Linked DNA regions of Saccharomyces cerevisiae S288C. The gene in region 4 interacts genetically with the main gene of each other region. Each region holds a gene or a part of one and is shown on either strand. Other genes may lie near its edges.

Evidence for each region.
Region 1: mutations in SIP4 (region 4) and CIT3 together harm fitness more than expected from each alone (negative genetic interaction), as found in Saccharomyces cerevisiae (one large-scale study listed by BioGRID).
Region 2: mutations in SIP4 (region 4) and MUP3 together harm fitness more than expected from each alone (negative genetic interaction), as found in Saccharomyces cerevisiae (one large-scale study listed by BioGRID).
Region 3: mutations in SIP4 (region 4) and SSH4 together harm fitness more than expected from each alone (negative genetic interaction), as found in Saccharomyces cerevisiae (2 studies listed by BioGRID).

The regions. Positions count from the first base shown.
Region 1 is NC_001148.4:554,399-562,690, forward strand, and holds CIT3 (citrate (Si)-synthase CIT3), read left to right. Parts: upstream 1-1,978; coding exon 1,979-3,439; downstream 3,440-8,292. Other genes in the region: histone acetyltransferase catalytic subunit HAT1, read left to right, coding at 207-1,331; PDH1 (putative 2-methylcitrate dehydratase), read left to right, coding at 3,987-5,537; YPR003C (uncharacterized protein), read right to left, coding at 7,106-8,292. UniProt on the Saccharomyces cerevisiae protein: Dual specificity mitochondrial citrate and methylcitrate synthase with similar catalytic efficiency with both acetyl-CoA and propionyl-CoA.
Region 2 is NC_001140.6:22,155-30,623, forward strand, and holds MUP3 (Mup3p), read left to right. Parts: upstream 1-4,086; coding exon 4,087-5,727; downstream 5,728-8,469. Other genes in the region: EFM1 (protein-lysine N-methyltransferase), read left to right, coding at 1-1,386; CBP2 (Cbp2p), read right to left, coding at 1,463-3,355; YHL037C (uncharacterized protein), read right to left, coding at 3,624-4,025; putative ATP-binding cassette multidrug transporter VMR1, read right to left, coding at 5,824-8,469. UniProt on the Saccharomyces cerevisiae protein: Very low affinity permease for methionine.
Region 3 is NC_001143.9:208,331-212,832, forward strand, and holds SSH4 (Ssh4p), read left to right. Parts: upstream 1-2,262; coding exon 2,263-4,002; downstream 4,003-4,502. Other genes in the region: RRN3 (rDNA-binding RNA polymerase I transcriptional factor), read left to right, coding at 1-1,800; signal recognition particle subunit SRP21, read right to left, coding at 4,165-4,502. UniProt on the Saccharomyces cerevisiae protein: Components of the endosome-vacuole trafficking pathway that regulates nutrient transport. May be involved in processes which determine whether plasma membrane proteins are degraded or routed to the plasma membrane.
Region 4 is NC_001142.9:261,923-270,892, forward strand, and holds SIP4 (Sip4p), read left to right. Parts: upstream 1-4,003; coding exon 4,004-6,493; downstream 6,494-8,970. Other genes in the region: GWT1 (glucosaminyl-phosphotidylinositol O-acyltransferase), read right to left, coding at 1-630; protein kinase activating protein DPB11, read right to left, coding at 835-3,129; ARG3 (ornithine carbamoyltransferase), read left to right, coding at 6,877-7,893; TRL1 (tRNA ligase), read right to left, coding at 8,080-8,970.

The DNA.
Region 1 (8,292 bases), on a different chromosome or scaffold from region 4:
ATCGCCTCAAAAGGTTATAATATATCCCAGAATTGATGGATTAAGTTCTTGAAATAGCACACCGTTATAAGTGATAAATATATTGTCTTCGAATAACGAATTTATTAGATTTCTATGTATTTCTACTTGAAGTTAGGAATAGATCTTTCTGGAATTGTTTTCAGCAAAATTATGCTTAAGCTATAACTATAGTGAGAATCAAGAATATGTCTGCCAATGATTTCAAGCCTGAAACGTGGACTTCAAGCGCCAACGAAGCCTTAAGAGTTTCTATAGTTGGAGAAAACGCTGTTCAGTTTTCACCATTATTCACGTATCCAATTTACGGTGACTCCGAAAAGATCTACGGCTATAAGGATCTCATCATCCACCTAGCATTTGATTCAGTAACATTCAAGCCGTATGTTAACGTCAAGTATTCAGCAAAATTAGGAGACGACAATATTGTAGACGTGGAAAAAAAATTACTCTCATTTCTACCAAAGGATGATGTAATTGTTAGGGATGAAGCTAAATGGGTAGATTGCTTTGCAGAAGAACGAAAAACACATAATTTATCTGATGTTTTTGAAAAAGTATCAGAGTATTCGTTGAATGGGGAAGAATTTGTTGTATATAAATCGAGTTTGGTTGACGATTTTGCCAGGAGAATGCATCGTCGTGTTCAAATCTTTTCATTACTTTTTATCGAAGCCGCTAACTATATAGATGAGACTGACCCGAGTTGGCAAATCTATTGGTTGTTGAACAAGAAAACAAAAGAATTGATTGGTTTCGTCACTACTTACAAGTATTGGCACTACCTTGGAGCAAAATCTTTCGATGAGGATATAGATAAAAAATTCAGAGCCAAAATATCTCAATTTCTGATCTTTCCACCTTATCAAAATAAAGGCCACGGATCCTGTCTTTATGAGGCTATAATCCAATCTTGGCTAGAAGACAAAAGTATTACTGAAATTACTGTAGAGGATCCAAACGAAGCATTTGACGATCTTCGCGACAGGAATGATATTCAAAGACTGCGAAAACTTGGTTATGATGCTGTCTTTCAGAAGCACTCCGACCTTTCTGATGAGTTTTTGGAGTCAAGCCGAAAATCTTTAAAACTGGAAGAAAGACAGTTTAATCGTCTTGTGGAAATGCTTCTTCTTTTAAACAATTCTCCATCATTTGAATTAAAGGTAAAGAATAGGTTGTACATTAAAAATTATGATGCCCTAGATCAAACTGATCCAGAAAAGGCAAGAGAAGCTTTACAAAATTCATTTATTTTAGTCAAAGATGATTATAGGCGTATTATAGAGTCGATAAATAAATCTCAAGGTTAACTGTTTATTAAATATATAATAACATATTTATTTGTTTAACAAGCCTGAAATAAGAAATTCTTTTATAAATACATCATCGAGATGATCATCAAAGTGTCTCTATAGTTAATATAAGCTTATGCAAAGGTTGAAGCCGTTATGTTGTCGTAATTCTAAATTACAGGTTATATTAAAGAGATTATCTTGACTGATATAAAATTTCTTATCATGGTAGTGATCACAAATAGATCACATGATATATTTTTTATTTTTAATTTTTTTTAATTATAAAAATAATTTTTTTCTTTAAATTAAACAAAAATAAAAAATTGTTTTTTGTTGGTTAAGATTTCCGAAAATAGAAATATTATTCAGTTGAAAGACAAAAAAACATAAATATTTCTATGAGCAAACAATTTGAACAGAAAAATAAAATTGGGGAAGTGACACACCATGGTAGCGGTTCTAAAGCGAAATCGGCAAAGCGGCTAAATAGCAGTTTTGATGACTTACTCCACACTGAAAATGGATGACCTTAAATAGGAGATAAAGCTTTTTCATCCCTATGTATTTAAGATGACTGGCTTGTCAAGCATTCTAATCATAAAAAAAAGATCGTATTTGATCAAGAATTTATACATAGACGCCGCTAAATAATTGAATACAAAATGGTACAAAGGCTTCTACCGGGCGCACATATATGCAGAAGGTCCTTCAATTCGTCTGCAATTATAAAGTCTTCTGCATTGACTCTCAAGGAAGCATTAGAAAACGTGATACCTAAGAAAAGAGATGCTGTGAAGAAATTGAAGGCCTGTTATGGCAGCACGTTTGTCGGACCGATTACCATTTCATCAGTTCTAGGTGGGATGAGAGGTAATCAGTCAATGTTTTGGCAAGGAACATCATTAGATCCCGAACATGGCATTAAATTTCAAGGTTTAACGATTGAAGAATGTCAAAATAGATTACCTAATACAGGTATTGATGGCGATAATTTCCTGCCAGAATCAATGTTATGGCTGTTGATGACAGGTGGTGTGCCAACTTTCCAGCAAGCTGCTTCTTTCAGGAAAGAATTGGCTATTCGTGGAAGGAAATTGCCACATTATACAGAGAAAGTTTTGTCAAGTTTACCCAAAGATATGCACCCTATGACCCAACTTGCAATTGGTTTAGCATCAATGAACAAAGGATCCCTCTTTGCTACAAACTACCAAAAGGGCCTCATAGGAAAGATGGAATTTTGGAAAGATACTCTTGAAGATTCGCTAAATTTAATTGCTTCACTCCCGCTGCTGACTGGGAGAATTTATTCGAACATTACAAATGAGGGACACCCATTAGGTCAATATAGTGAGGAGGTGGATTGGTGTACAAACATATGTTCCCTGCTCGGCATGACAAATGGAACGAACTCTTCTAATACATGCAACCTTACTTCCCAGCAATCCCTGGACTTCATAAACTTGATGCGGTTATATACCGGTATACATGTAGACCATGAAGGTGGTAATGTTTCTGCTCACACCACCCACTTGGTTGGAAGTGCGTTGAGTGACCCGTATCTCAGCTATTCATCTGGAATAATGGGATTAGCGGGTCCTTTGCATGGGTTAGCAGCACAAGAAGTAGTAAGGTTTCTCATAGAGATGAACTCTAATATTTCCAGCATTGCACGAGAACAAGAAATCAAAGATTATCTTTGGAAAATTTTGAATTCAAACCGTGTGATCCCCGGTTATGGGCACGCAGTTTTGCGTAAACCGGATCCTCGATTTACAGCAATGCTTGAATTTGCGCAAAAGAGGCCTATTGAATTTGAGAACGACAAGAACGTTTTGTTGATGCAAAAATTGGCAGAAATAGCGCCTAAGGTTTTGTTGGAACACGGAAAGAGTAAGAATCCATTTCCCAATGTTGACTCTGCATCGGGGATTTTGTTTTATCATTATGGAATCAGGGAATTATTATTCTTTACCGTCATTTTTGGGTGTTCAAGGGCCATGGGACCCTTGACACAACTTGTTTGGGATCGCATTCTAGGTTTACCAATTGAAAGGCCCAAGAGTTTGAACTTGGAGGGTCTGGAAGCACTTACCAAAGCAAGCAATGTTAACAAGTTGTAACGCAGTTCCAATTTACAAGAATGCTTCGTTTGCTATTACAATATTGAAATATAAATAAAATTCCATACAGCATGTCTAATCATAGCTAATTTATACATATTCATCATGAAAACATATAGGGGAAAATATGGTCGGTTAACACACCTATCAAAAAATTATTCAGCAATTCCAATCTCGTTAGTAAAATATATTCTTATTTTTTTTTTTTTTCTCTGATTGTATTATTTCTGGAGTTTTGACTTATTTTTTTACCACATCGCGCTTTTCGTCCCCAATCTCTCTGATATATGATGCTGTCTATAGGTAGCCACTTCCCCGATGTCGGACCTCGGGCCGTTTACAAACTTTATTGAGATGACCTTATTTCTCCACATTCTAGTCATTCAACTTTTACCCTCATATGTTTACCTTCACTAATGTGAAAGCATGACCAAAGAAAGTGTATAAGGTATATAAATCTGCCATAATGTATGTATAACTTATTAGGACTTTCTCAAATAGTATTTTGGTATTTTCTACTGTTCTCTGATGATCGAGAGCAAACAGAATGTTTTTAGCCAAAAATCTAAAAAATAATAAAATCAAGGTATGCTTGCCTAAAAAGAAATTTGCTGCGCTGAGTACAGCGTCTATACAAACTAATGAAAGACCAAATCCAGATAAGGTTTTGAAGGACATCGCGAAATATGTCCATGAAACCCCATTAAAATCATCTTTGGCTCTAGATACAGCACGACTCTGTTTCCTTGATACTCTAGGCTGTGGCTTGGCGGCTTTGAAATTTAAGCAGGCTCAAAATATTATTAAACCAATTGTGCCAGGAACAATAGTTCCCAGTGGAACAAAAATATTGGGCACATCTTACGTTATGGATCCAGTGAAGGGAGCTTTTGCCATTGGTACTCTAATACGTTGGTTAGATTACAATGACTGCTGGTTAGCTGCCGAGTGGGGGCACCCATCAGATAACCTTGGGGGAATTTTAGCTGTCGCGGATCACTTGTCCAGATTAAACAAGGCTACCCACGGAAAGAATGGAAAACAGTTTCTTGTTAAAGACGTATTAGAGGCAATGATTAAAGCGCATGAAATCCAAGGTATTATAGCGCTCGAAAATTCTTTCAATAAAGTAGGTTTAGATCATGTGGTACTCGTGAAAGTAGCAACGGCTGGTGTTGTCTCGAAGATGCTGGGCCTGAGCCAGGAACAAACTATTGAAGCATTGTCACAAGCATTTGTAGACGGTCAATCACTGCGTACTTACCGTCATGCCCCAAATACTGGATCTAGAAAGTCGTGGGCGGCGGGAGATGCAGTTTCGAGGGCTGTAAACTTGGCTTATTTAGTCAAAAATGCTAATGTTGGCACGATACCTTCAGTATTAACAGCTAGAACCTGGGGATTTTATGACGTTTTATTTAAGGGTAAACCTTTTTCATTCCAACAAAGATCAAAATATGATTCCTACGTCATGGAAAACGTTCTGTTCAAGATATCATTTCCTGCCGAATTCCATGCGCAAACTGCTGTAGAAGCTGCTGTAAAAGCATATAGGATTCTTGCCAAACAAGGGAAAACTTTTAAAGATATTAAATCGATCAGAATTAGAACTCAAGAGGCGGCAATGAGGATTATAGATAAATCCGGTCCTCTGTATAATTATGCCGATAGGGATCATTGTATCCAGTACATGATCGCGGTTCCGCTGATTACTGGTAATCTCACAGCTACTGATTATTCGGATGAGGTCGCAAGAAATCCTGAGATCGATAACTTGAGATCGAAAATGTACTGTATCGAAGATACTCATCTCACTCAAAACTATCACGATCCTGATAAAAGGTCGATAGGAAACGCTCTTCTCATAGAGCTGAACGATGGGACGCAGTTGGATGAAATTTTTGTAGAGTACCCTGTTGGTCACAAATTTAGACGAGAGGAAGGAATACCATTACTAATGAATAAATTTCAAAGGCATCTGCGCGAACATTTTGTAGAGAGCCCTGATAAAGTCGACCTTATAATGAAGGTAAGTTCAAAAACAAACTTTTTGAATATGCAAATCGACAAATACATGGATTTGTTTACTGAGGGATGAATGGTTGGCTCTTTAAGAGCGAACGGCATGGTACCTACTTCAATTTTTAAAGACAAAAGGCGCCGTTTCGATAAACAAGAAATCACTTTCAAAACATAATTAAACCAAAGAACATGCGGTTTTCTAATTATGCTGGCTTAATTTTACTGGTATTTATCTACATAATAATAACTATTAAAAAATTAAATAATTGGCTCTATTTATTTTTCTTTCTTCAACTTGCAAGAGTTCGTCAATTCATGGAAAAATACAAAAATAGAAATGCGAATTCTGTGGATCGAACACAGGACCTCCAGATAACTTGACCGAAGTTTTTTCTTCAGTCTGGCGCTCTCCCAACTGAGCTAAATCCGCTCAATTTCTATGCTCTAACCACCTTAGCTAAAAACTCAATACAGGATTAGTTGATAAATGGGTGTTATCAACTCAATCCACAGTGTTGGAATCAGAGTCAGTTATCATCTTTGGGCTAGTATTATTGTAAGTGTTGGAATAAAAATTCTAAAATATCATCCATTTAGTAGTGTTCATATTACTAATATATCTGTTGGAATAAAAATCCACTATCGTCTATCAACTAATAGTTATATTATCAATATATTATCATATACGGTGTTAAGATGATGACATAAGTTATGAGAAGCTGTCATCGAGGTTAGAGGAAGCTGAAGTGCAAGGATTGATAATGTAATAGGATAATGAAACATATAAAACGGAATGAGGAATATTCGTAATATTAGTATGTAGAAATATAGATTCCATTTTGAGGATTCCTATATCCTCGAGGAGAACTTCTAGTATATTCTGTATACCTAATATTATAGCCTTCATCAACAATGGAATCCCAACAATTATCTCAACATTCACCCATTTCTCAATATCATCACGTGCGGTCTAAGAAGATGATATGAAGATTGAGAATAGTCATCAGGTGTAATGGAAGCTAATTGCAAGGATTGGTAATTTAGTAGGATGATGAATGACAGTCACATAAGATGAAAAGGAAAACAATAATGCCATTATATCGAGAATATCGATCTCTTCGTGGATTCTTCTCATAGAGAAATTCTAGTATAATATATATACGAAATATTATGGCCTTTAACAACAATAAAATTCCAACAATTATCAACTAATTCGAACATCTCTTGACAATATACATTATTAATTTTTACATTTCGACTTTCTTTGAATTAGGGACTGTCTCTCAATTCATCTCTTTCTCATACAGAATATCACTTATCCTATATAACTTATATAAGATTAGAATCTAACTAGAGCGAGGAGAGCGGAAACTCGGATCAAAAGTGATTGTTTAAGTGTTTGTGCGTTTGTGCGGCTCATTAAGACAATAAGGTTTTGCTTTTGTATTCAATTTTGTGGGTTTTATAACGTATAAATGCGCTTCTTGAAAGCTTGTTAACGATTTTATCGTAAAGAAATAAATAAACTAAAGAATTGAGGAGACAATACTGTTTTGATAAATAAGCCCCAAAAATATTATAGGGCCGCAAGGAATAAATTTCATAATGCGCATATGCCCAGACTCCTCTGTTTCTTTCGAAGTTTTACACTAGACTTGAATTAAATAAAGTATTGGACATAAAACTCTCCGAATCATTGTTCGGGACGTTGTTCCCTTTAATTTTCATTTTCTCAATTTCATAAAGAGCCGCATCAATGCTATCGAAGTACGGAGAATATGTCTCTCCTGCATCACTAAATGTGTTGCTAGTATTATTTTCGTTGTTATTTGCTTGCGCTCTTTCCACACTAGCAGCTACACCTGCTTTGAATAATCGCCTTCTTACTTTGTCATTTATAGATACATTGACAAGGTAAATAAAGACATTGCGCCTCTTGTAACTAGTGATAATTTCCTCCAGCACTTGGGCGGCTGAAGAATCTATTGAGGTCATCCCACCTAAATCGAAAATGACATATTTTATGGAATCCTTCGAGCGAAGTGATTTCCTTCCAGGATGTATCTTAGACGAACCGTACCTCTCTATTCTGTCAAGTCTCTGTTTTAAATCTTCGCTGTTTGTAAATGTGAGAGGCTCAGGTATTCTAACAATCATGCATCCCTCGATTTCTTCTGTGCCCTCAACATCCAGAGAGTTCCTTTTCATGTTCATCATGTAGTCGTCAAGATTCGTAAAGTTCGACGTTCCCGCTACCCTAGCCAGAATTTGGATTCTTGACTTTGCTGAATGCTTTATAATATTTATAATTGAATAGACACATCCGATGCATATTCCTGCTTCGATTGAGTAAAATATTGTAGTGCAGAAGGTAACAGCAAAAACAAATAGTTCACTAAAGCCACCACATCGCAAATGGAACTTTATGTCGCCTGGCACTTCCTCTAATAAACTAATTCCGATGATGGTTGTTATGACGGATAAAACACAATTAGGAATATAATGTACGAATTGAAGAAGTAAATTCATTGTGATTAGGGTGATGACACCCATAAACACTCCCGACATTACGCTTTGTGCTCCTGATAGGGCGTTGATCTTGGATCTTCCATATCCGCCGAATGCGGGAAGAGCACCGAATAATGAGATGACAATATTCATGAATCCTAAAGCTACTAGTTCTCTATTAGAGGAAACGGTAAGATTGTAAGTTGTTCCAAGAGATTTCGACGCGGTCGTAGATTCAAAAAAACCCAACATTGCCACTATTAGAGATGCACTAAAAAGATCTGGTATTAGCTTACGTCTAGGACGAGTTAAAGGGTTTTTCA
Region 2 (8,469 bases), on a different chromosome or scaffold from region 4:
GTCATGAATTTGCATGGTACAGACGTGTACTTAACTATGAGAGATACGCTGAACAAACTAGTAAAGGAGTGGAGGATGCTGTTCCAAGCTTTATCTATTGAACACTCTTCTCAAGATAAGCAGTTCTTGTCTTTATTCCAGGAGAATAAAGACTCTGCCGTAGTGCCGTTGGAACAGTTCTGCGCACACATCAATGGATGTAAACTAGAAGATTCGGAATGGAACTCGTTCGTGGCGTATCTTTGGTCGTACTGCATCTTTAATTCTAGGGCATTTCCTCGTGTCATTTTAGGCAGGGCCGGTACAGACCGCACCAATCTGAACGAAGGATTTTTGTATCCAATAGTAGATTTATTAAACCATAAAAACGATGTACCAGTAAGATGGGAGATGAATGAACAAAATGAACTTTGTTTCATGTCGCAGACTACCACATTTAGTGCACAGGATGAATTGTTTAATAATTATGGTAATATTTCTAATGAAAAATGTTTGTTAAACTACGGGTTTTGGGATTCCTCGAATAAGTTTGACTTCTCTAGGTTGACTTTAAAGCTACCATCCACCTTAGTTAGCGGTTTGCCCGTGGATTTTAACAAATCAGGTAATTTTGTTACTGACGATGGAGAAACTACCATTTTACAATTTAGTTTAAAAATTTCTGAACCATTACCACCGGTTCTACTAGCGTTATTTGCCTACCTAAGTAAATTAAAGTCTGAAGAAACTCCAACCGTAAGGAGCGTATTGGAAGGTATTGATCAATTAACATCTGTAGTATCCCAGAGATTGCTGTTTTATAAGAATTTTAAAATTAAAACTTCTTCGACTCAAAAATTACGCCCTCATGTTATTAAACTAATCAAACTATACTATCAAGATAACAAAAAAATTCTGAACGCCACTACTGAGAAATTGTCCGTTTTACAAAAAAAAATATATAGCAATAATAAGGAGTTTTCTCTGTCATTCAAGACAATTTTTAAAAACGACAAAATATTTGCCAATTCTCTCTTACTGGTATTTGGTGCTATAAATTACGAAGATTTGATCACAAAAGACTGTCTTAATGACGCATTGTTGCTCTGGATAGTCAAATTAATCAACGATAAAAGTAATAATCAGGGAGGTTTCATTAAACAAACCTTCAAAGAAGTTAGTGATTCAATTGTCATTGAAAAAGAAGATGTTATGGAGTTTTTGCCGTTCTATAAAAAATACTTCCCTAATTTATCGGAGAGAATTCCAGAAATTTATAGTGTCGGTGATTGGGGCATAAGACAGTTCATTGTGGCAGATACTGCGATTGATAGATTGGTTTGGATCAGGAAATCAAATAAAGAGCCTATATTTCTAATGAAGAAGGCATACGACTTACAGATTTAGCTTTGATCTGTAGCCTAAGTATAAAATTCTACGTATGTATATATTTACATGCAATTTTTTCTTTTTCCAATTCATGTTAATGTTCTTCATCATTTGATAATAGGCCAATGATATTATCTACTATCTTCTCCTTTTGAGGAGAAGCTGCTTTCACTTCCTCGTTGCTTTTCTCTTCGTATAAATACATGAATTTCGACTTGTCCAGCATTTTTTTATCAATACAATGCATGTGCCCATGAAGTTCTACCTCCGACAAATCTTTAACAAAATATGTCGTTATTTGTGTCATGAATTTCAGTAGGGTTTGAAATATTTCGGGTATGGCGTTCTTCTTATCCAGAATAACAATTTTGTAGTTTGCTGATAATGTTATTGGACGAAGCTGGATGGGCCTATTTACGCGGAACTTTTCGCCATATATTTCCTGTTCGAAGTATAAAAGTTGGTTGGCCAATTTCTTTAATCCGTTTGCAGATTGTAGCGATTGTTCATTCGCAAAACCAGGTTCTATTGTTGCATTTATTGACTCAGTGAAACCCACCAACTCCATTAAAGTTGGTCTTAAATCATCTTGCATAAACTTGTACAAGTTTGGCTGGAAAATTCTAATCATTTTCGATTTTGTCAGCACGGTTTGCAAAATTAATGTGATGTGTTCAAATCTTGATAAAGTCGTTTCATCATTTTGGAAAATAGAGAATTGGTTCCATTTCATTTCTGAAATTACCAGTGCGGAATATGTTTGTAGGTCATGAAGAAAAGAGTCGTATTTTGTCTTGTAGTTGATCAGAGAAGCTTGGTCCGTGGGTATTTTCATGGACTCGGTCTCTTGATATTGCTTCCATATATATGAGTCCCAAACATTCCAACTAAATTGAAAGGAAGGCGCATTATCGTTACCAGAGAAGGAACGGATGCTTTTCTTGTTACGTTGTAAAATGGTGAATATATTGTAGAGAATGAAATTTTTGCAAAATTCAGCCCTCAATTGCCGGATGGAGAAGTCGTTTGATAATATTGTAGCTCTTAAAATGTCTCCAGGGCACGTTCTGTCTTTGTTTGATTGTTTGCTCCACAATGTCTTATGGCTAACCGATCTTTCTAAAAGTTGCTTCAAAGTGACGACATTACCACCAGCGATTCGAGTTGTGGCACTGTTTGCATCCAGATAGAATGGTTTACCCTCTTCGTTCGCCAGTATCCGACCAGCGTTAGCCTTCTCAATGCGCTTTCGTTCATTCAAGGTGCAAAGTGGCGAAGCTATCTTGGTCTTCAATTTGTCTACCTCAGTAACGAAAAATTCTCTATGTTTATCTACAAAGTAAGGGAAAATACCAATTCCATCGAATTCCCCAATCATCGCCTCATCGGAAACCTGGAAAAGAGGCAAGGGCTTTGCATTAGCTGGGTTTACAAACATGGGTACCTCACCATTATTTTGTTCCAAGAGTCTATCGTAAGTGCTCTTCTTAACCCCGATTCCCCGACAAAAGTTTGAAAATATCGACTTAGGCCAAATTACACGCTGCAGTTTCAACTTATCATCTTTGCATCGTACCCTTATTAATTGTTGCCACTCGAAAGATGGCTTGAAGTCCTCATCCATTTCGCTGAACAACTTCTCGTAGAGACTTAAGGGGTGGTCAAACATAGGCGCAATCCGTTCCCAGTGTTGGATCCTCTTCTTCGAGGATTTTTGAGTTAGATCTGTTCTAACAATCTTGAATGCGTGTTCGCGAGGGGCGTTTATATCACGTAATAGCAGTTTTTGCAAGTCCGTGAGTGAAATATTATACAGTACTCCTTCAAGATCACAATATTCATAAGATAAGTTTGTCTTCTTAAACGCTTGCTTACAGCGAGGGAACACCTGATGTGTGATATTCTCCATGTTGAACTTATACCTGTAACGAGAGGAACTGCCCTGTCTCCTCAATGAGACCATGAACAATGTTTGCCAATTCACCATTTTGGTCACTCTGTCTCAAACCTTTCCTTCAGCGCAGCCTTACTCCTTCAAGAGAAGCCTTCATTGTCCATTCACTTAAGCATAATTTGTCATCTTCAATGCAATTGAACTTTCACTAAATACACCCATACACACCAATCTTGGATTCTACTCGGCGGCAATCTTCACTCTTTCCTTTGTTTTATCATTTTCTATTCCACCTTTAGTTCCCCAACTTCACCTCTTATCGAACTATCAACACATTTGACTATCATTTTGGCAAATTCACTCACGTGAGGGCGTGTGCTAACCATGCAAGGGTTATGGCATGCGCATCCATGTGGCGTTTCCTACTTTTATTTTTACATAATATATAAGATAATTGCACATGCAAACAGTCAATCTTTTTCCTGCAATTGATGTGGAGACCAAAAGGTTTGCATCTCCTAGTACCACGATTTTTTGGTGCAAAAGTGTTGATAATGTAATTCAGGTAGAAAAGGTAGAAGTTTCCTCTAGTATGTTCACAGATTGGATTAGAAAAAAAGATCACGCGACTCTTGCCGGAAAAAACTGTGGCGTCGCTGCATATATATGACAAATCAATCATATAGATTAGAGGCCTGCCTGAGTCAAGGGGCAAAAACAATACACATATAAAGACCTGGATGCTTATCGATGATCTGTACATTCTGTTTGTAGTCTAAGTTGCTGAGGGCAACGTAGACGTACAGTGCTCAAAATAAGTAAAAATGGAACCGCTGCTTTTTAATAGTGGGAAAGCAAATCCCTCTCAAGATGTTTTCATAGATGTGGAAGTTGGTGATATTACCACAAAATATGGTTCCACAAATACTGGATCATTCAGTTCGATGGATACTGTGGAAGCGCAGGCGATAAAGGCAGAGACGGCAAGATTCATGGAAGTTCCACAGGGAAGACATTTAGGTGTGTTCTCCACGGTTGTGTTATTTGTTTCGAGGATAATGGGGTCAGGTATATTTGCAGTACCCAGTGTGATTTTACTGAATACAGGTGGTAATAAGCTGATATATTTTGCGATCTGGGTTTTTAGCGCTGCGATCGCTTTTGCAGGATTGTATCTTTTTCTAGAATTTGGTTCCTGGATACCGAAATCAGGTGGACGTAAAAACTTCCTCGAACGGAGTTTTGAAAGACCCAGACTATTAATTAGTGTGGTGTTTTCGTGTTACAGTGTTTTAACTGGCTATGCATTGACGGGATCTATCGTCTTCGGTAAATACGTGTTGAGCGCATTTGGAGTCACGGATGATTCGTGGTCCAAGTACGTCAGCATATCATTTATAATATTTGCCGTTCTCATTCACGGTGTCTCTGTAAGGCACGGAGTGTTTATACAGAACGCACTTGGTGGTTTGAAGTTGATCATGATTGTCTTGATGTGCTTTGCCGGGCTATACACGCTTTTCTTTTATAAAAGCACCGGTCAAGTTGCCTGGGACCTCCCAGTAACCCAAGTTGAGAAAGATTCTCTCCTGTCGGTGTCCTCTATTGCTACTGCCTTTATCAGCTCATTCTTTTGTTTTTCTGGATGGGATACAGTTCACACAGTTACATCAGAAATTAAGAATCCCGTTAAGACGTTGAAGGTGTCAGGTCCCTTATCGTTGATAATTTGTTTTGTCTGCTACACAATGATGAATGTGGCATACTTGAAAGTTTTGACATATGAGGAAATTGTTAGTGCAGGCCCCCTGGTTGGTTCCGTGTTGTTTACCAAACTTTTCGGACCCAGAGTTGGTGGCAAATTCATTGCTTTTTCTATCGCCATTTCTGCAGCATCTAATATTCTGGTTGTCATTTACAGTATATCAAGAGTTAACCAGGAAATATTCAAAGAAGGTTATTTACCATTCAGTATTCATATGTCCAAAAATTGGCCATTTGATGCACCTCTACCATCTATTTCTTTATGTGGCTTTATAACCATTGCTTGGATATTGATTTTACCCAAAGAGGGCGAATCCTTCAATTATCTGGTATCGATGGATGGTTATGGTAATCAGTTTTTCTTATTATTGGTCGCTATTGGGCTCTTTATTTGGAGGTTCAAACACAAGAACGAAGTCCCAGAGATTCGTGCATCTACTTTTGGAGTATTAGCCATTATTACATTATCATTATACATGTTGATGGCACCATTCTTTGCCGACCCTAGCCTAAACAGAGTTGGGTTCCTGCCGCCCTACCAAATCATGTCATTACTGGTAATAGTTGCATGCTTCTTTTTCTGGTTAGTTAAATTCGTTTTACTACCTAAATTCTTCCATTATAAACTTTTACCCAAAATCACTTATTTGCATGATGGGCTCATTGTCACAGAATGGGTGAAAAAGCCATGTCTGTGTTAGTTTTTCCTTTTCTACATAAATATTTTATAGACTACTATTGCATTTTTAATAAATAATATTCATCCTCATCTTTGAATAAAAGAAAGAAACATTCGATTATTTCATCATCTTACTTGATTGCTTGGCTATTTGCTTCAAAAGCTCTAGGCCCCCACTGTCACGACACATACTATAAAATATACCGCGTTCATCTTTCAACAGTTCACTAGGGCGATCATATTCTTTTACCTCACCGGCATCCATCACAATTATCCTGTCGTAATCGATAACAGATCTCAAACGATGTGCAATAGTAAGAATTGTGCTTTTATTAAACTCACTTCTTATAATACCCTGAATTAAATGGTCAGAATCGTAATCAATAGAGGAAGTAGCCTCGTCCAAAAGTATTATCTTTGGCTCGCGTAACAATGATCGTGCAATAAAAAGCAATTGCCTTTCACCTTGGGACAGATTTAAGCCGCCCTCAGCTATTTCTGTGTGAAGATTTAAAAATTTATTATGAGTGCTGTTAAAGCGTTCCTCCGAGTTAAGCACTTCTTCAAATTCATGTGAAGAAATTAGATTTACTTGTGAAAGTGCTTTGAATATTTTTTTTTCATCATATTCATCATATGGATCAACATTACTTTTGATTGTACCTGCAAATAGAATAGGGTCCTGAGGGATGATAGTAATGGAACGACGTAATGTAACGAGATCAATTTTACTTATATCCTGCCCATCTATTTTGATACATCCGGTTATTGGTTCTAGTAATCTGAATAATGCCGTTATTATGGTAGATTTGCCTGCGCCAGTTCTTCCGACAATCCCAATCTTACTTTGAGGATCCACTTTGAAACTAACATTTCTTATGACAGGAGGCAAATTTGGCGCGTAACGTAAAGATAAGTTTTCAATTTCAATTTCTCCATCTTTTGGCCACGATGGTTCGTTTAGAAGTAGAATGCGGCCTTCATCATGGCCAAGATAGTTCTCTTGTTCAATGCTAGAATATTCTTTTAGTCTTTCAACAGAGTTCATGTTCATTTCAAATGTTGAGTACAGTCTAACTAACCATAAAGCACCATCTGTAAACAAAATGGCATATGTCAAAGAAATGCCGGCAAGACCCGAGTCAATATTTGCAATATTGAGCAGAATAAAAGAACCTGATGCTAAAACAATGAATGCGCCAATCATGTCGACTCTAAAAGAAAACCATTTGACAGTAACTGATAAATAAAAGAATGCTCTGTTATTTTGGTCAATTTTGTTCATATTTTCTAAAATGAATCTCCTCTCGTCGCCAAATGCACGAATTGTGCAAACGCCTACCAAGGTCTCTGAGAAATGTTGAAAAATGGGTGATTTGGTTATTGAATCTAACCTTTTCAATTCTCTACTTGCCGTTAAGTACCATTTCCCCACAAAGAAATATAAAACAAAAACGATAACGGCGACTGTCAAAAAGCGAGGAGTTATTACGGTAATGAGAAATATAATTGATGCGCATTGAATTAGGCAAAATATAGTTACTTCTAAGTATGGAATCAATTCTTGATCAACACCTTCGATGTCCTTTGAAAAGCGATTCATGATTCTACCAACCGGCGTCACGTCGAAAAATCGTATTTGGGCATGTAGAACTAGATCTAGCAGATTATTAAAGATCTTTCTGGAGGCTCGCATACCGGATAAAAACGTCATCATTGTTTTAAAACCACCTAGCATTGCCTGAATGATACCAATAAGAAAATATACGGTTAAGTAATAAAATGCATTATGTTTATTTTTCGAAGAGTCGGTCATCCCTTTTAATGGCAGCGTGTCCATCGCAAAACCTGGAGCATTTATTCGTACATTGGTATCGTTGACCCAATGTCGTATCCACCAAGACTGACTGATGAACAAAATTTGAGCTGTGATATAAAGAGCGAACAGGGCTGTTAAAGCTTTGAAGCCTCCAAAAAATTTCAGGTACCATTTATAAACATCGGGGCTTATGGCACCGTTTGATTTTTCTTCCTCTTCTATTAGCTGGCCATCATTGACAAAATTTGCATCAAAATTTATGTTCTCGGTGACAGGTTCGATTTTCTGAGAGTCATTTTTTCTGGGAGCTTTTAATCTATTAGCGTTCTTTTCATTAATGCTATCTCGAGAAGAAAGTTGAACATATTTTTCCTTAAAAAGCCCTTTGCTTTGTAATTCTGTAATAGTTCCTTGATTCTTCACTTTGCCATTTTCCAACACAATCGCGAAATGGGCATTTCTAAGTGTTAATGAAACATTGTGCGTAACTAAAATGCAGGTTCTATTTTTCATTAGTGGACCTGTGATGCAATTTTCATAGATCCATACAGCAGTATGTGAATCGACAGCGCTCAAACAATCATCTAGTAAGACATGCTTAGCACTCGAATAAACAGCTCTCGCCAAGGAAATTCTCTGTTTCTGCCCTCCTGATAAAGTTATACCCTTTTCACCAATTTCTGTTAGGTCACCTGCTGGTAAAATCTCCAGGTCTCTTTTCAGCCCACATGCATCAATTACTTTGTTGTACCTATCCTCGTTATAGAAGTTATCAAAGATAATATTGTTTTTTACCGTGTCATTTAATAGCCACGCACTTTGTGAACAATATGCGAAGGAATTGGTTAAACCTTCGCAGTCGGGAATTAAATCATGCTTTGGTTCTAAGCTCGGAACAATGATAGAGCCACTAATTAGATTTAGTTCACCCAGTAAACCCAGCAG
Region 3 (4,502 bases), on a different chromosome or scaffold from region 4:
TCCGATAGTACTGGCCTGGTAACCCTTCAACCAGAGGAGATAAAAGATGAAGTGTTTTCAGCGGCCATGTATAGCAGGTTCGTGAAATCTGCCCTAGATGATCTGGATAAGAATGATTCAACCCAGATCGGCATAATTGCCAATCAAGTAGCGCTTCCGAGCAAGAATCCTGAAAGAATTAATGATAAGAATCTCAATATTCTTTTGGATATCTTATCTAGTAATATCAACAGGATAGAATCCTCCAGGGGAACTTTCCTCATACAATCTATCATAAACTTTGAGAAGTGGTGGGAATTGCCTCCACACACTCTAAGTAAATATATATATTTCATCAAAATCCTTTGCTCGAGTATACCCAAATGGTGGCAAGACGTTTCGATGATACTGGTATCTTGTTTTATTTTACCAATCAAACAGACAGTGTGTCATCATGATATGCTTAAATATTTCTTAAGGATGATTCCCTCCTCGATGGGATTCATAGATACATATTTGGCCAAATTTTTCCCAAATAAAAATGATACTCGGAGAAAGTTGGTTAATTACACTTCAAATTTGCTGAAATTGAGAGGCTACTGCTCTGAGCTAGGATTCCAAATTTGGTCCTTACTGATAGAAAAGATTATTTCGATTGATGTCGAGTTACAAAATGAATTAGATGAATTAGATGATGATGTAGATGACGATGATCTAGAGGAAGTTGATCTAGAGGATGACGACGATTTAGATGATGATTCAGGAGACGATGATGATGAAAATTGTGGGAACAGTAATGAAGAGTTAAGGTCTGGAGCAGCCGACGGTAGTCAAAGTGATAGTGAAGATATGGACATCATTGAAGGTATGGACGGTACTGAAGAATATAATGTGGAGTTGACGCAGGGAATCAAAGAACTTTCCACCAAATTGGACTCTATCTTAACTTTGGTAAGCACGCATGTGGAAGAGCAAGTGACGCCGGAGAGTTTAGAAAGCGGTGAAGGCGTAGGAGTCTTCAACACTCTAACAACATTATTTAAAACGCATGTTCTACCCACGTACTATACCAGGTCGATTCAATATATCATGTTCCATGTTTCACAACAACAATTAGAACTAATGGATTCATTTTTAGTGACACTGATAGATATTTCGTTTGCCGTCAACGAAGCAGCAGAGAAGAAAATTAAGTCATTACAATATTTGGGGTCGTACATTGCGAGGGCCAAGAAACTATCCAGAACTCAAATTATTTTCGTTGCAAGCTATTTAACGTCCTGGTTGAATAGATACGTTATCGAAAGAGAAGAAGAAGTTGATCAACGTGGAGGTATGGAAAGGTTTAAACATTTCTATGCAGCATTTCAAGCACTTTGTTACATTTTCTGTTTCAGACATAACATCTTCAGAGATACAGATGGTAACTGGGAGTGTGAACTGGACAAATTCTTTCAAAGAATGGTCATTTCAAAATTTAACCCATTAAAGTTTTGTAATGAAAATGTCATGTTGATGTTTGCTCGTATTGCCCAACAAGAAAGCGTCGCGTACTGTTTCAGCATAATTGAAAATAACAACAATGAAAGATTGAGGGGAATCATCGGCAAAGCTGATAGCGACAAGAAGGAAAATTCCGCACAAGCAAATACCACATCGTCTTCTTGGTCTTTAGCCACTCGACAACAATTTATTGACTTACAGAGTTACTTCCCATATGATCCTTTGTTTCTGAAAAACTATAAAATTTTAATGAAGGAATACTACATAGAGTGGAGTGAAGCAAGCGGGGAATATGAAAGTGATGGGTCGGATGACTAAGGTCTTTTTTCATAGGTATCTTCGAGACATGCCCGTCACAAACTAATGATACACTGTAGTCACCCCATTAATAGTTGAAATGAGGATATATAGCATAAATGCATTTAACACATTTTTTAGATTTCTAGATACTATAGAAACTTAGTATTTTTATTTTCCACAGTGTACTCTTCACGATATTTTGCATTTTAGAACGCTTGTTTGTTCTCGTCACTTACTACGTGCGCGCTTTACATTCGCAGGTCTACTTATTAAAGAGTTTCTGTGGGGAGGGGTTCCTGAGTCAAAATCTCAGCTATCCGAACAGCTTGTACTTAGATTACTTGGCACATATTTATATTCAGTAAAGTCAATAGTGGGTATTATTAATCGAAATAAACAGAACAAGCAGTAATAGCTCTTTTTTCATCTATTTTATTTGTAACTAGGAAGAAGAAAAAAACTTGAAGGTATACAAGAGCAATGTATGTCACTTTTAATGAGGCTTTGGATAGTTCTTTTGGTAATCTAGAGAGTCCGAATCATGACTTCAAAGTAGGTGACCCTAACATGGTACCAACTCCCCCTATGGATTCAGATTCTGCAGCAATTAGTTTGGCTTTCTTAATAAGTCTTTCTATTACGTTTGCAATATTAATGCTCATCTTGGTAGTAATAGCGGCATATGTCACCTTTTGTGGTGATGATGAATCAGAATACGACGAAGAGAACGCCTTAGGTACACGAACTTCAGGAACTCTGCACTCTTTGTTTGGTAAAAAACATAGTGGCATCTTGTTGGATTCGAGTTTTGCATCCCCTGGCGGGTTTGATGATGAGATCGTTCTTCAGGAAAGAGAACTTGAAGAATTACCAAAGATGTCAGCGTACGAGGTTGAGTTGTATATAAGAGCGAAAGAGTTTCAAATGATGAGCCCGCCAATGGTGAAGGACTTTGGCACGTATTTGGACAGTGACGACCAGCAGTTTATTAAGGATCGTGGCATTCAAAGCTATTTTTTGCTACCAAGCATTAATGATAATATAGACGAATATGGAAACTTTCTACCCAGTTTTATTGTCCAGGATAAACTAGATATTCAATTTTCAAAGTTCAATAAGAGCTCATCCACTGTAATGAACTATCCCCTACCTCACAATAGGAAGGACGCAGTGTATTTCGAAGTTAAAATTTTCAGACATATTCAAAAGTCCAATAGTATATTCAGTATAGGTTTGACTACTGTACCATATCCTTATTTCAGGGTACCGGGCATGGCCAAATACTCCATTGCATACGAATCCACAGGTAAACTGAGGATAAATAACCCCTTCACTGCCAGCACATTATTACCAAAATTGGAAGAAGGTGACACGGTAGGATTCGGTTACAGATATAAAACAGGTACAATCTTCATTACACATAATGGGAAAAAATTAATGGATGTAACACAAAATATTGGCATTGATCTTTTCATTGGAATTGGCGCGTTTAATGCCGCATATACAAGAACATATACGAGGGATGGTCTATTGGAAGACCCGGATAATGTTAGCTTCCGTGAAGCTCTCTCTGAAGGCAAAGATATTGAAGTCGCCAAAGATCTTCAAAGAGTTCACGATCCACATGATGAAAGTGATGAAATGACGTCAGATGAGGTTGAATTACATGTTAATTTGGGCCAAGTTGGGTTCGTCTTTATAGAAGCCAATGTGAAAAAATATGCGTTTGGGAGTGTTTATGGCCAAATTGGAATTCCTCCTGCGTATAATGGAACCGAGATCAAGAAGGATACTATTTTACAGAAAGGAGAAGAATTGCCACCAAGATATGCTGACACTGATAATTTCTTTGGTAGTATGAAGGTAAAAGAAGGGTCATCCTCTAGGATAACGGCGCAAACTAGTAAGCCCCTGTGGTCTGTTGGGACGTATGAAAGAATCTCTTCTAACTTTGACAGAGAAAATAATGTTTACCACGACAGTCTTGAAACCGACGATAACAACACCGATAACAATGTTAATAACAACGATGAGAACGCTGGTTGCAATGAAAATTCGCCATTATTGGAAGATGATGGCAATAAAAGACCGGAAAATTCAAATACCCCCCGTGAAGTATCAGATGGAGCTATCAATAAGAACCCTAGAAATAAATCTACTAAAAAACGTCAAAGAAACAGAGGCAAATCTTCTAAAAAGAAGAACAGATCGAGAAAATAAGAGACATTATGAATTTGGTTTTTTTTACAATTTACGCATACACAATATATACATTCCTACTAGCTTTTTTTTCTTCAATTCGATAGTTTAGATGGGTTTATATCTAAATATATATATATAGTATTTTATTTCATATTCAATCTCCTAGTATACATGAAATATTTAACGCTTTTTTTTGCCCTTGTTTTTATTTTTTTTCTTTTTTGAAGCTGCAGAGTTACCATTGTTATTTTGCACAGCATTAGCTTTTTGCTTCGGTTCTGTAGCAGTTTTCTTAGCCGCAGGATCGCTCTTTTCGACATCTGTGTTGACAATTAAGGTGGCTAAACCAACAATGTCTTGGATGCTCTTACCTTTTATTTTTTTACTCGATTCTTTTATTTTGTTATTTTTCTTCTTCGACTGTGCTATTTTTTCAATTTTACCTGGAGTTATAGATACGCCTCGTGGGCCTAATGCACTAAGTAATCTTGAAACATCTTTACTCTTATTAGTAGTAA
Region 4 (8,970 bases):
CAATAGAGTTCCTCCTGATTTTAAGGCATTAAATGCATTTTTTAAGAAGCTGGGTTTACTCTTCAAGCTTAGGTTTTTCAACAGTGCCCTAGAAGAAACAATACCGTTACTGAAAACGAATGATCCTACACCAAGATCCATCAGGGATGTCCCCCAAGTTTCCACCTTGGCAAACCTCCTTGGGAAAATTGGAAAATCTACAGCCAAGATGGCAATAGCAGTCAGAATAAGCATCCCACCACGATACGCAGTAATATACGGCTTTTTTTCTAGTTGGAACCGCTGTGTAATCATTTTTTTTTTATTGTATATTGGATTAGAAGGTTTACTCGAGCTAGTAAATTTTCCATATATGAATGCGAGCAAACAAGGTAACAGTATTAGCGTGTTTAGAAGGTATGGTTCACTAGCATAAATAGTAATAGATAGAAGCAAAGCAACCCAGTTCAATGCAAAATCAATTATGTATTGCACGCTGGAAATGCCAGGAGGCATAAGGTTGGAATTTTTCAATAAGTTCCATGATATGTAAGTTACCAAAGCAATTGATGTCACTGCGTTAATTTCTGTTATAGAACCGCCATTGAGCCCTGTCACAAAGTCCTCTTTTCTCTGTTTTAAAGTCGACATATTCTTCTGATGTACTGTTGCCATTTATTTAGATATTTACGTGTCTTCTTATTGCGATCCTCTTTTTCTCATGCTGTTTTTTCACGCGAGCATGTCATGGAAAGTATTATCATACAAAACGGTAATACATATAGATGAGTAGATTTGAATAATGCTGTAGATGGCGTATGTAAATGAATATCTTATAAAATTACGGACTACATTTCAAGAATCTAATTCCTTTGTCTGATTTCTTGTCTGTCGTCTCATAGGTTTTTCTAAAGAGGCAGTACGTTTCTTATCTTGAATGGAGCCATAGGTAACTTGAGTATGTGAAACTTCCTCAGTTCTTGGGATCTCTTCTGGATTAGAAATTGCAGTCGGCTGCTCTGTAGGCACATTTTCTGACATTATTGTGCCCCAACTCGTGGTTCGTTTAATTTGTTTAGGAACGAAATTTTTTGGCAGTGACTCCAACTTGATCCTTTTCGTATCCGGCATTTGTCTCTCTGAAGAAACATCCATGATACTCGATGAGACACTACGCTTTTTTCTTCCAGAATCAGTTTCTCTAATTTTCTGCAATAATTCGTTTTTGGTATCTTTCATAGAGTGCTCCGATAATGAGGAATTGTTTCTTTTCAAAAGAATAGTTTTGTCGATTTTTGGATCATTGTTTTGGTACTTTTTTTCTGAACTAATGCTGGTATAGTATGGTTTTTTTATCTTACATTTAAAATCGTCCTTGTGTCCTCTTGGGCAGATAATACACCACTTGATATTGTTTAAAAAGATTTCATTATTTTCTCCAGATGCAGCGGACAATAATTTAAAAATAAATGCTGGAGTAACTACCGGTATGGAGTGGAATTTCTTGATATATTCAATTTTCCTTTTCATCGAATTTCTCAAGATTGAATTATTTTGAAAATCTTTTCTGTTATTATCACCAGGATCATCATTATTGTTATTAATGCAAAACTGAGTAAAAAGATCGCTAAATTCATTCGACCATAACGGATGGGTTTTCGGGATACTGGGTAAAGCTGCTAAGTTGATTAGCAGAATGTCAGTGGATTTATTGAGGTATTCTACATAATTGATGCCCATTGGTTTTAGAAGATTTAATACTTTAGTCAGATGTAACAGCTCTACGCCAGAGAATCCAGTGATAGTAACATTCAGAAAAGGGGAAGAAGAAAATTCATGATGCAATAACTTTGAAGAAGACGAAACTTGAAACTCTATTGTGCTGAGGAAGGGTTTTGACCATAAATCTATTGGGTGTAGTAATTTTTGATAATACAAGCAGCGTTCAATGAAAAATTCTGTAACTATACCATCATTATCATCTATAATCTCAGGTAAATCATTGAAGGAGTCAAGAGCTTTATTACTTGGAATGATGTAATAAGAATGATCGTAAATGCCGCTCAAGTAAGACGTCTCAATTTTACCCCCATTTTGAACAACAATTTTGGTTAGTATTGAACGGTGATTGCCAGGAAAAATATGATGAATGATAAACGCACAATTTTTGAAAATCAAAGTACTATTATCACTTAAATCTTCTTGTTTGTTATTTATCGATAATGGTGACTGCCCTAGTACTGAAAAATTTGTCTTACTATGCTGCTGTAGAGACATTGCCTTGTCCCATATTTTTTCACCCTTTGGTTTAAATTTATTCAAGAGGGATGATGTTTTCGGGAGCGAAGGAGTCAGGGTACTGGAGGATTGCTGCCGCTGCAGAGAGGATTGGGCATCGATATTGGTTGGAAAGGTGGTGTTTATTTTATCCCAGCAATCGCAAGAGTTTGATCCGATTGAATCATAGGGCAGGTCTTTAATATTTGGTAAAAGATAATAGGGATCGTACGGTAACAGTGCGCTTCTTTTTTGGCAATCGAGAATCCATTTGAAATGTACAATAGGTATATTTTGTTCAATAGCAGCGTTAACTCTTGCTCCTAGTAAAGTATCCGTAACAAAAATGGATATCTGCCCATTCTGACCTTGATCATCGTCATCATTGTGTGAAGAGGTATCTTTGATTACAAAGTTTTGATAGTTATAACTAGAACACCCTAACTTTTTAATACTCCTAACCAATGAATCGATGGAAGTTATGTTAGTGTCGGTTATTCTGCCAATGAAGATATTGAAGTTATGCAAATATTTAAACGAAAATCGCCGGTAAAGTATCTTCAGCATCTCATAGGTGGATCCTGTCATTGTTGCCGTATTAGAGTCCGGCAATATATTTTCTCCAGACAGCCAGAGCTGATAAATGTCATCAATGGCTTGAATGTCAATAAATATGATATCGAATCTATGCTTCACCGCAAATTTAAATTTGTTTGTATTGGTGGTGGACCCAACAACAAGGACATTAACTTGTCTGGTCAAATCTTTAGAAAATATACCTCCTAACTTAATAATTTTCTTTGATATTTTTTTAGCTAAGATTTCATTATTTATTGCAGTCGGACAAAATGTTATTCCTTGAAAGGGCTTCATAGTAATATTAATGCTACTGATAAAATACCTGCCATACTAGAAATAGAAGACTTATATATCACGTAAAATTTGTCTCTTCTTATTCATCATGTACATAAAACAGTACAAACATTACCAATAGTACTATATAGCTTTACCAGGCAATACGCGAATAGTCCATGCAGTTTTTCTTCTCTTATACTGATGAGGGTAAGTTTTGCATTTGATCACCGCCGTATGCGAAGCGGAAAGAGCAAATGCGTTGAAAGAAACCTGGCGACAATAGGAACCACGAGTTCAAGCTAATAATGATACCTCAATGATTATGCCCAGATTACGTTATGTGACTAAAGTAGAAAGGTGAATAAATATAAGTAACGAAACAAGGTTACATGGACTCTTCAATTAAAGAAGGAAAAGGAAGGATTCTTTTGCAGGCAGAAAACATTGAAGTTATATCGCAACAATAACGATGTAGTTATTATGACCTCATAATATGAGAACTTTTTCCTCAAGTATTTTTAAGTTATTCTGTGTGTCATGACTCTCACTTCGTCATATTTTATGTTAGTGCACAAAATGCGAGGTGTGGGTGCAATCAAGACTCCGATCCATTTTCGCCGTTCGACCGGTGTTTTGGCGGCTAAATTTAAGGGCGTGATCTCAGAACTCGGCGGCAAAAAAAAAAGTATATAAGGCAGAAAGCTTTCTGCCTCTCCGATTTCCTCTCCTTTGTTTTCTTTTCCGCTTCAATTTACAATCTAGTTCAGCGGCTAATCCTCTTTACCATTGTTTTCCGTTTATCCTTTGCTCATTCTCCTTTGCTCGATTTCTTTTGCTCGTTTTTTTTTTTTTTTTTTGCTTCTTTTTTTCTTCTCGCTACTCTGAATAGACGATGGCCAAGAGGAAATATGGCAGGTCTTATTCCCTCGATGATACAGATTCCTGCAGCAATAAAGTCCTGATAGTACCAACCGGTCAAAGCTCCTCTAACGCAATCACTGATTTCTCTGTCAGAAAGGCGCATGCTTGCGATAGATGCAGACTGAAAAAAATCAAGTGTGACGGTTTAAAACCGAACTGTTCAAACTGTGCGAAAATTGACTTCCCTTGCAAAACCTCGGATAAACTGTCGAGGAGAGGTCTTCCAAAGGGGTATACAGAACTACTAGAAAAAGAGGTCGTCCGTTTGACAAATATGAATGCGAGTTCCAGCGCCAATGCAAATTCTAATTTGCCGTTCATTAATGATACATTTTATTGTTTTGATAATTACAACACTCAGTCTGAAAATCAAAGGTTTTTGGGACATTTGACATGGAATATTCTAACTAATACTTTTCCTACTCAAAAAGCAGTAGTTTTTACAGACGATCGAAATAATATTGATCTACAACTGCAACTGTTAACAAATTTTTTGAACCTGAATGGTGACTTTAATCATCTCCCAAATTTTCTTTTACTTAAATATGATTATAACCTTCAGTTTTTGAAAAATTTGTTGTCTGTCATTATTAAAGATTTTTTTAAAAGGCAAAATTCTTTGCTACTTCTATTATACCCTACAAATTTATGGAAAAATTTGCTATTAGACAAGATTAATTCAACCGCAATGACAGGTGAACCCATAACTCTACTGGCGTTACTTTATATTATTCAATTTACTTGGTCTTGTTTTGATGATTTCAAGCTTTTTAAAGTCACGAAGCTTATTGTTTCTCTGACAACAAACAGCAAATTAGACTTGAAAGTTTTGCAATTGGTTAACTTATCCATCTTTTATTTTATGGGCGCCTCTGTTGACTCTTGTAAAAGTAAAAGCTCGTTAACAGAACATTCAAATGTAAATTCAGTAATATGGACCAATGATTTGCTAAACCTAAACTTTACAAATATTTTGAATATGGGATTGTACATAAATCCCAAAAATTTAATTCCTATATCAGGCAACAATAATAATAATAAATCTAATGAAGAGGATGATAGAATAGTGACATTTTGGTGCTTTCAATTCTTAAGCTCATGGTGGTCCTTAATTCAAGGTTTACCAAAGTCCAACTTTTTAACTGAAGAATTTCAACCGAAATCAATCTCGGTTCTAGAAATCCCCAGGCTGAAGCCCTTTGAAATTTTGTTAAACTTCATCATATATTCTTTGGATGGATGTAATTTGTTGAATATCTCATCTTTAAATGTTTCGGACCCAAATTTCCAATTTTTCCAGAATGAACTGGAAAGCTTTAAAAAAAATTTATTACTGTGGAACCTTTATCACAATTTGAGTGATCACGATAACTTCCGATTCTTAACATCCAGTTCAAATAAAAAACTAACAACAAATTTACTACTTAAGAATTTGACGGGTCTAAATCACAAACTCAATCAACCTGATTTTGTGGAGATTCAATTAACTTTATTTTACTTGAGTTTAAAATTAATGACTTTAAAGGAAGGGGACCAAGATTTGAAGAAAGAGGATATCTCGTTAGAGATATTGTCCCTATATTTTTTAATTCTTACAGATGACTCTAATAATGATGATAATCAACAGTTACAACCACAGCAACTAAATCTCTACCATTTTACGCCCTTCAATAGTATTGACATTATTGACTTATGTTTAAACAATTTAAACAATTGGTCATTATCACTTAAATACGAAAGTGGTCAAAACCAGCCCCACTCAAGTAAAATAAAGTTTGAAAAATTTCAAAACTTTTTAAATCACTGGTGTCCAATATGGTACTATGATGAATTTTCCACAAACCCTTTTTTACAAATCCTCAAAATCAATTTCAAATTACTTCCTTTTGAGACAATCCATTACTCACAAGAAGAGCAACGATTGTTAATAAGTTTGAATAAATTGAGATATTTGGATGCCGTATCGAGCTTTAATTCAAGTTCAGTCAAGTCGAATTTCGCGTCTAAGGTCAATACCCAGCTAAACCTTTTGCAACACTCGAGTTCTAACTCCAATTTCCTAGATGCGTCACCATACGATTTTAATAAAATTTTTATGAACAACTTTGAAAACTATGACTACGAAACAGATGAAGGATATGCGGAAGATGATGATGAAGAGGATAGTGACAGTGACAATAGCTTACCACTAGAAATTCCTTTTAAAAAAAGTAAAAATAAATGCAAGAATAGGAATAAAGAGCTTTCACAAAGGTTATCCCTATTTGAAAACAGAGATAGCAATTCGGTAGATTTCAACACAGATACAAATTTAAATTTAAACCCTGATTCGCCATCAGTTACGTCTTCTAAGAAAAAATATTTAGATCATATTATTTTAGATAACCGAGACATCGTTAGCAACCATGACTCCAGTAAACAAAAATTCAAGATCCAGAATATTTTGAACTCGACCTTCTAACATTACGCTCCTTCGTATTACTCATTCAGCTCTTCCTCTGATAGCAGTGAATTTTCGAGGGTCACGTCGTGACTCATATGCTTTCTTGTTCCGTTTCGTTTCGAGATGACAAAAAACTGGTCATTTTTTCCGTTAAGTGCAACTCACAGCAGTATCGGCCGCTGAGAAATGCCCGGACAAATTTTTTTGAGCCGGATTGGTCACCGTTTCTTTCTTCGGCGCGGCTTCCCATTCCCGTCCATCCAAAAAAATCTACCTATATAAATCGACTTTTCACCTCTAAAGGCAGTTTATTCCTTGTATGTCCTTTAAGTACAGTTAATAACGAGCAATTTTTTTTTTTTTTTTTAGCCATCTACCCATCAACTTGTACACTCGTTACCATGTCAACCACAGCATCCACGCCTTCATCTTTACGTCATTTGATTTCTATAAAAGATCTTTCTGATGAAGAATTCAGAATCTTAGTACAAAGAGCTCAACATTTCAAGAATGTTTTTAAAGCAAATAAAACGAATGATTTCCAATCCAACCATCTGAAACTATTGGGTAGAACTATAGCCTTAATATTTACTAAAAGATCAACTAGAACGAGAATTTCGACCGAAGGTGCAGCCACCTTCTTTGGTGCCCAACCGATGTTTTTAGGTAAAGAGGATATTCAGCTTGGTGTCAATGAATCATTTTACGATACCACCAAGGTTGTATCATCTATGGTTTCATGTATTTTTGCCCGTGTGAACAAACATGAAGACATACTTGCTTTTTGCAAGGATTCCTCTGTACCGATCATCAACTCTCTATGTGACAAATTCCACCCTTTGCAAGCAATTTGTGATCTTTTAACAATAATCGAAAACTTCAATATATCTCTAGATGAAGTAAATAAGGGAATCAATTCAAAATTGAAGATGGCATGGATTGGTGATGCCAATAATGTCATAAATGATATGTGCATCGCATGTCTGAAATTCGGTATAAGTGTCAGTATTTCCACTCCCCCCGGTATTGAAATGGATTCCGATATTGTCGATGAAGCAAAGAAAGTTGCTGAGAGAAACGGTGCGACATTTGAATTAACACACGACTCTTTAAAGGCCTCCACCAATGCCAATATATTAGTAACCGATACTTTCGTTTCCATGGGTGAAGAATTTGCGAAACAGGCCAAGCTGAAACAATTCAAAGGTTTTCAAATCAATCAAGAACTTGTCTCTGTGGCTGATCCAAACTACAAATTTATGCATTGTCTGCCAAGACATCAAGAAGAAGTTAGTGATGATGTCTTTTATGGAGAGCATTCCATAGTCTTTGAAGAAGCAGAAAACAGATTATATGCAGCTATGTCTGCCATTGATATCTTTGTTAATAATAAAGGTAATTTCAAGGACTTGAAATAATCCTTCTTTCGTGTTCTTAATAACTAATATATAAATACAGATATAGATGCATGAATAATGATATACATTGATTATTTTGCAATGTCAATTAAAAAAAAAAAATGTTAGTAAAACTATGTTACATTCCAAGCAAATAAAGCACTTGGTTAAACGAAATTAACGTTTTTAAGACAGCCAGACCGCGGTCTAAAAATTTAAATATACACTGCCAACAAATTCCTTCGAGTTGTCCAATTTCACCACTTTTATATTTTCATCAACTTCAGCAGATTCAACCTTCTCACATAGAACATTGGAATAAACAGCCTTAACACCACTTTCAAGTTTGCACAGCGTAATATGAGGAATTTTGTTTTGACAACACAACCCTTTAATTTTCTCATTGTTTTCATCAATTATGCATCCATCTTTATCTTTAGACAGTTCCACTACAATAGCAATGATTTTTTCATCCCAACATAGTTTTTCGAGCCTAAAATTCAGTTTGTCGGTCGTTTTTACCTGCGTATTTTGGTTATTACCAGAGCCTTGTGCATTTTCTATGCGGTTGTTATTGTACTCCGTTATCTGGTCAGTGTATCTGTTACAATATGATTTCCACAACTTTTTTGCCTCTTTTTCACGGGACGACATGACATGACCTAATGTTATATGAAGTTCCTTCTGAACTTTTCCACTAGCTAGTAAATGCTTGAATTTCTCAGTCAGCTCTGCATCGCTAGCAATACACCTCTTGACCAATTCAATAATTTCATCGTAGTTTTCTATTTTAGCTGAGATATATGTAGGTTTAATTAACTTAGGCGTTTTTTGTTGATTATTGTTGCCTTTACCAACTATTTTTCTCACAGTAGGTTTGTAATCTAAGCTCCTTCTGAACGCTGTCTCAATTTCATCATCTTTCGGGATCTCTGGTACCAAAATTGGATAAGCTTTATGAATTTCATTGAGGATTTGTTTCGCATTGGTTAATGAAGAGTCTGCTTGTCCAAAATCTAACTCTATCATTAAATCAAACATATTATCTGGTGATTTGTCTAAATTAACAGGTTGATATCTTTTCAAAAACCCATTCAT